Yarrowia lipolytica: one gene and its partner. The protein of the gene in region 2 interacts with the protein of the main gene of each other region in a pairwise test. Links are inferred from orthologs where the notes say so. Each region holds a gene or a part of one and is shown on either strand. Other genes may lie near its edges.

Region 1 (3,410 bases), on a different chromosome or scaffold from region 2:
CATTCATCTTATGTTCTACCGTACTTCAAGGCCTTCCCTCTACTACAAGTAGCTACTACACCTACTTGTAGTCTCCAGGGGCTCCTGGATAGACGGTATGATGTGTATGTGAAGCTGGCCCCTTTCAGAATCCATATTTCTGTCAGATGGTTCATGAGATACCTCTGATACGAGTACAGTAGGTACAGTAGATACAGTACTTGGTACATACTGCACAGGACTCTAGGGTCTTGAGCACTCTCTGTCGGGGGAGGCTTTTGAAGAGAACGCGTCATATATATCCATCTGAATACTCATACTGAAGGAGAATCATGGGTGTTCCTAGACAATCGGAACATCTACAGCAAGTTCTAGACTGCAGATACTCCACCTGTAACCCCTGAGCCCCTGATGTCTATAACGCATGTGCAGGGAGAGCGCGACACGGTAGATTGTTTTACGATATCGTTTTTACTGGCTGAAGCACCCAGTCTTCCACACCTCTGTCGTTAAATTAATTTCACCTATTTACTTACATCCATGCTCAGTGTCATAATACTCTTATCCTCCACAGCCTGTCTAACACGAGCAGCTGTCCTGCTCAGGCTCGTTTGTAATATTCACGTCAATCAGCTCGCTCTGGTCGGTCTTGAGAGCCGTCTCGAGACCGGGCAGCTCGGACGCCACCTTGTTGAGAATCGACTTGACATTGTGGCCAGCCTTGGCCGACGTCTCCAGAAACAGCGCGTCGTACTGCTTGGCCTTTTCCTGTCCCTCCTCGGTCGTCACCTCTCGTGACTCCTCCAGATCGCTCTTGTTTCCAACTAGCATGAGCACCACTTGATTTCCTCGCTCGGCCTTGACGTCCTCAATCCACTTGTCCACGTCCACAAACGACTTGCGCGAGTCGATGGCGTACACAACAATGGCAATGTGACTATCTCGGATGTATGCTGGCACCAGAGATCGGAACCGCTCCTGGCCCGCAGTGTCCCATAACTGCAGCCGGATGGTTCGATCGGGCAGATACATGGGTTTGGACAGAAACTGGATGCCGATGGTTGCCTCGTAGTTCTGGTCAAACTTGTCGTACATGATTCGCGTGATCAGCGACGTTTTTCCCACACTCTGCTCGCCCACAATGACAAGTTTGAACTTTTGGATTTGTCCTGTTTCGGTCATCTTAGTGGTTCTGTGCGACTATCTGGGGCGGTGGAAGCGTGTCTTGTAACGGTGAAACTGTCGGGTGGCAAAAGTCGCGGGTTTGTGTGACTTGTTTCGTGTCTTTGCTTCGCTTTTCGGTAGCTCAAATCGCCGTTCTGTGCTTCACCCTGATATTATCACAACCTGTTAGTCCGTCATGTCCCTCTGGGTGGTGACAACTCACTGCATGTGTGGGGGTTAGGGTTTGTACCGGTTAAGGTTGTGGGTCTTGTGATTAGGGCTGAGGTGTTCTGTGAAACGGGCATGGCCAATTCTGAAGAGTGGAATGGACACCTCCAAATTTCTGCGAGTTGATTCCAGTTTGAATTTTTTCTGTGGCGTCATTACTGCGGAAAACACACTCCGTCTACAAGACTCCTGATCACGTGTGCACCGTTGGCAGACAGATTAGGCTGCTCATACGGACTGTTGGGAGAACGAAACTTGAGCGATATGAAAGGAGACATGAGAGAGACCTACAAGTATCGTACTTGTAGACATAGGCCTGGAAGCGGAAGCGGAAGCGGAAGGTGTGGGCACAATAAATAAGACTTGTTGTGTTTATACAAGCACGCTATATTACGAGTATTATTAGTCCATTGTGGCACCTGTGTGCAAACTATTTCGTACTACGCGTACTACTCGTACACGCACAACGGGAAGGTGTTTACGTGAGAAAAACTTGGGGCATGATATATGGATAATATGGACTGATACAGTAATCTCCCTTGAAGTCATTGGTGACGTGTATTTTTACGAAAGAGCTCCATTGCACGTCGATTTCACTGTACACCTCGGCAACTACAACCGACCCTCGGCTACCCTTGACAGTTGATGTGCCGTTGTAATGTCGTCTAGAGTCGAGATTGCAACAGCCTCCATATCATTTTTTCAGTCTAAACCAGTTTTTATCTGCTCCTCAGTCGTTACTCAGCAGATCTAGACTATCTGTTGGGTGCATGGGTGCAAACCAACCGAACTCTTACTGCCGGCAAGAGACACTTGTTTCATGGAAATTAGACTGAAATGTGTCTGTATTTTGACTATGGAAACGTCTCTATACAATAGATTACTGCAGATGTTTATATCTAGCTCTGTTTATACGTGTGTTGGTCCTCGCTCTCAAACAAGTGCCCTGTCCGGTCCATCTCTTCAGCATATACTACGGCCCAAGTCAAGTTGCAAGTCTAGTAGCACATTCTATTGACGATGCAGTAAATTTACAGTAAAAGACTTGGAATGTGCTCGTCGCTAAACTGTTGGTTCACCCCTACCCCTGGATGTGCCGCCCTCGAGACATGCTTTAGATCTTCGGAACATACAAGGGTACAAATAGTCGTGTTTGTATTCGTACAGGCAGTAATCCAAGGGTTCATCAGTTAGTCTAAGACTACAGTATGTACTTATGAGGTTGTATATTACCCAAGGACCCTGCTGCATCTCCCTGACATGGCGAGAAAGTCCACGTTTTCAACAACTCAACAGGAATGAGGCACTCGTACACCACACATTGGTACGTAAACCTGTGTTACTCTTTTCCAGCAATTCTGTCAATACTGTTTCCTCCACCTAGTGTCAACAAGACCAATGGTCGTACCCTTGTAGCTTTCACGCGCTAATGGTTTAGGTCCACTTGATGAAGAATATATCAACTGCCCAGCGTGTCAGTTGTGTCTTAGTCATGGGTAATACCTGGTCTGTTGGCTCACAATTTATACGGCAATCTCGTAGTTCGATTGCACATCTCTGACCTGTCGTAATCTCCTCGTATTCGTTTATAAATGGGGGCTTTATCCATGCGGATCGTGCATAAGACATGTATTGGGGACACGCGAATTGTTCTGGACTTGGCTAACACTATGTACTCGTAGTTAGGATATAGCGTGTTTCAGACTGTTTTGCAGTAGTCGGGTTCCATATATCCCTTGGTTGGTGAACTGGGTGAGCCGAGGCCCATTGTTTCTGGGGTTGAATGGGGGGGGGGGGGGGGGGGTTCAAAAAATGTAAGAAATTGGAGAAAAGTGCGAGAATACAGAAGTGAGGAGGATAAAAAGGCGAGATATCTGATTCTGCTTAAACAGGAAACATTTCTGCTTCAGGAATTTCATCCTGTCAAATACATTGTAAGGAAGACGGGACTTCCCTGAGGAACGGTTGTATCCAGTTCATAGAGGATTGCAATTTTACAGCTCGATACCACTTGTTTACAACCCTTAGTGTTATTTACT
Region 2 (3,993 bases):
CGTGCTCGTACCGTACATACTATGTCTAGTGTTGAATGGTTTGGTTGCTGTCCTGTCATTCGGACCAGTTTGTACGTACTTGACAAGTAGTCAAGTTAGTTGACGTTCCAAGTAATACTCATAGTCGGTTACGCTAACAGGAGCAATTGCTCGTGCTTTGGTGCTTTGGCAGCAAATACAAGCACAGCACACTGTCGGAATATCCCAATGCGGAGTTGCTCACTTGTCTCATCATCGCCATCAGACCAGTTGGGCAGGACCAACGCAGCTGGCTCACAGAGTTCCGTTTCGGGAAGTTGGAGATGAGACGTTGCGTCGGTTGGTTGGGACCGACTATATACCCGCAATTTAATAGCCGCAAGAGGCAGGTTGGAGATGAGAGCAATGGTCGACAATAGTGCAGTTATCGAGGGAGGCGTGAATCTGTCACACGACACACGTCATAGTGCAGTCACGATGACACGTCAAAACAATGTCGATGGACCAAACAATACTCACACTCAGCAGTATCGGTCCGGTTCGAACCTGTACTTGCTCGTACCCGGTGGCAAACCCACCCGCAGATTATCATCACATGACCTGGCCCCATCTCTCGGCTGTCCTTTGTATTGTTGGGCTTTGTTAACAGAACAAGGACGACCGTTGAGATGAAGCGAACACGGTTTCAGTAGGTGGCGGTCAATTGAACTGGCAAGAGAAAATGGACCTCTGCTTATACTGTTCAGATCGGTCTGTGTCACTACGCTCCCCTCGTAACTCGTACGCCACTCCAGCTGTCATCCACACACAGCTCGTAATGTCGCCACGCTCACATAAGTCATGCACTGGACGAAAGCTAAGATTGGCACGGCAGATACTGACAAGACGAGGGAGCGCTTTAATGGGGGTTTATGGGGGGATTTGAGGCGGAAAAAACCCAGACTTTGAGTCAATCAACCCCCCACAAGCTCCCTGAGACAATGCAACGCCCAAATCCCGCCCGCAACACGTGCTATACCCGATTCCCATGACACCCAATTCAACACCTTATTTAGCCTATCTGGGAGAGAAGGGCCAATAATTTATGTTCAACTAAGAGTAAGTTGTGAAAATTTTTCTCTGTAGAAAATGGTGGAGACAGACATTGGGCACGTGATGGGCGTCGGAAAGGCGATTAGGGCCCGTATAAAACCCCCCAAAGGCCAATTTATCCCCTGCCGGGGGTCCCGACACGTCACATGACCCCACATCCCCTCCAAGAGACCCCTCGGCACGTACTTTAGTGCACCCTGTCCAAGCCTCCTAAAACTCTATACGCAGCACATACCCCATATTCCAAGTCTACACCTGCATCTTTGAACCAGAGCGCTGGAAGAGTGCACGACATCTGTTTGTACTATTGCCAGGTGGACCTCAGAAGGAAACGAAGCGACACAAACACACAAGCGACACAAGCGGAACAAGATACACATCCAGAACAACATCCGCAACATCCGCAACATCCGCAACATCCGCAACATCCGCAGCATCCGCAAAAGCAACGCGCCCGCACACCAACTACACCTGTGAAGCCAACCAAGTCCCAGTACAAGTACTGTACACGCCACAAACCTCCTCTCTCGATAACGCAGACACCTCTCCCACACATCCCCTCAACCCCCTCTCACACCACATGTCTTCTTTCTCAGCATCATCGGTATCCAAACGAGGATCAATTGTGCCGCCACTGGCAGAGGACCCCGCGTTTGTAGACTCTTGCGACGTGCTCATCTGTGGCACGGGCATCGTCGAGTCAATTCTTGCGGCCGCCCTCGCATGGCAGGGCTCCAACGTGGCTCATCTGGACCGCAACTCCATCTACGGTGACTCGTCGGCAGTACTCAATCTCGATGAGCTCCCTAGATGGGTGGACGAGGTCAATTACGAGTCCGCCGTCTTCTCCAACGCCAAGTTGTACCAGCCCCGACCCCTGGACTCCAAAAAGTACTTTGTGGACCTGACCCCACGGGTGCTGTTTGCCAAGTCGGACATGCTGCAACTGCTGCTCAAGAGCCGGGTCTACAAGTATCTGGAGTTCCGGTCACTCACCAACTTCCACACGTACGAAAACGACAGCTTCGAAAAGGTGCCGGCGTCCAAACAGGACATCTTCACGTCCCAGCAAATGTCGCCCGTCGTTAAGCGTCAGCTCATGAAGTTCATCAAGTTCACCGTCGAGTGGGAACGTCTCTACAACGTCTGGGGACCCTACCGAGACAAGCCCGTTGTCGAGTTCATGACCAAGGAGTTCCAGCTGGAACAGACCCAAATCGATGAGCTGGTCCAGTCCATTGGCCTGTGTTCTTCCAACGATGTCGCCACCCCCGTCGCCCTCCACCGTATCAAGCGGTACCTGGTCTCCCTCGAGACCTACGGCGCGTTTCCCGTGGTTTACTCCATGTACGGATCTGCCTCCGAGCTGTCGCAGGGATTCTGTCGATCAGCCGCTGTCGGCGGAGCCGTATACAAGCTCAACGCAACCCTCACCGGGCTCGACGTGGACTCCAAGACGGCTATCTTCAACGATGGCTCCAAGGTGCGATGGTCCGAGAAGCTGGTGGTGTCCGAGGCCCAGATCACCGAGCAGGTGCGCTCCAAGATCCCTTCGTCCAACCCTGAGTACCAGATCAACCATCTTACGGTAATTGTCAACATGGACTGCAAGGAGTGGTTCGCCGAGGGCGAGGACGCGGCCATCATCGTGTTCCCCGTGGGCTCTCTGTCGTCCGGCAACACTAAGACTGTGCAGGCCATCTGCTACGGTGCCGAGTCTGGCCAGGTTCCTCCTGGTCAATGTATCTGGTACCTCTCCACTGTCCAGGGAGGAGCCACAGGCCAGCGGGACCTAGAGGAGGCACTGTCCAAGATGGAGGCATCGATTCTGCGGGAGTCGACCGAGGACTTTGAGTTCCAGGTGGACCAGTCGGATGTTATTTTCACGCCGTCCGGCGACCCCGTGCTATCGTCCGTGAAGCTCGGCAAGTCCATGAAGGATTTTGTACCCGAGAAGAAGCTGACGTATCTGATCAAGCTGTCGTACAACCAGAAGACGTCGATTCCGCCGCTGGAGGAGAGCATCAAGGATGTTGCTAAGAACGATGGAGACGAGAGTCCTGTGATTGTGACCTCAGGTGCACCAACGGAAATCACCTATGACGGCATTGTGGAGCAGGTCAAGAAGATCTACGCGCAGATCGTGGGTTCAGACGACGACTTTTTTGACGTTGACTTTGAAGACGACGAGGAGGACGAGCTGACGGGAATGGCCAAGCAGAATAAGAAGCAGGAGGACGACGATCACGTGCCCGACTTTGGCGATGACATGGAGCTGTAAGACGGGTTCCACATTGGATATACGATATAGATATTTATAGGGCTGTACGTTACTAGTGCAGTTCTGCTCAACATAAGTTAAGCTAGATGATGTTATGACAAGCAGGACGCGGGCGCGCTCGCAAGATCCAGTGTGGTGAGATTGGGTTCTTTATAGATGACTAGAACCACTTTGAGAGAACATCAGAAGCGGTAAGAACGTTAGTATATATTAGTGTACATGGTTAGTATTTATGGAATGACACTCAGTGGACTAATCAACACTTACCTCGAACAGTTCCATTTCAGTCTCTGAATGGACCAAAGAGTCTGACGAGATGAGGGGATCTGAGGAGAGGGCTACTTCTGAACCCAGGAGATCTGTCTCTGGTTCGACTTCGCCATCAGGTTCAGCCATAGGTTCAGGTTGGGCCAAATCCTCCATGGAAACCGTCTGAGTGTTTGTATTTCGAGGAGCTTTGTTCTCCTTGTCTTCGTCAGGATCCAGTTCAGAGGGAGGGTCTGGAGGTGGTGATAGAGATGGCAATGAAGTGGTTGGTTGTTGTGCTTCTCGTGAGGCGACATTCTCTTGCTGTGGGTTATTCTCTTGCTGGTGCTCCTCTTGCTGAGTTCCTTGTTGTTCCTCTTGCTGTCCCTCTAGTT

Evidence for each region. The genes of interacting proteins can lie anywhere in the genome.
Region 1: the proteins of YALI1_F09177g (region 2) and YALI1_B28830g interact in a protein complementation assay, tested with the Saccharomyces cerevisiae proteins (3 studies listed by BioGRID, with this or other methods). The link is inferred for Yarrowia lipolytica from reciprocal best matches to the Saccharomyces cerevisiae genes MRS6 and YPT6.

What each region holds. Positions count from the first base shown.
Region 1 is NC_090771.1:2,880,998-2,884,407, reverse strand, and holds YALI1_B28830g (uncharacterized protein), read right to left. Parts: upstream 1,372-3,410; coding exon 1,367-1,371; intron 1,304-1,366; coding exon 1,220-1,303; intron 1,172-1,219; coding exon 559-1,171; downstream 1-558. UniProt on the Saccharomyces cerevisiae protein: Protein transport. Might participate in post-Golgi transport.
Region 2 is NC_090775.1:916,118-920,110, forward strand, and holds YALI1_F09177g (uncharacterized protein), read left to right. Parts: upstream 1-1,651; coding exon 1,652-3,352; downstream 3,353-3,993. Other genes in the region: YALI1_F09161g (uncharacterized protein), read left to right, coding at 22-75, 125-352; YALI1_F09211g (uncharacterized protein), read right to left, coding at 3,605-3,993. UniProt on the Saccharomyces cerevisiae protein: Substrate-binding subunit (component A) of the Rab geranylgeranyltransferase (GGTase) complex. Binds unprenylated Rab proteins and presents the substrate peptide to the catalytic component B.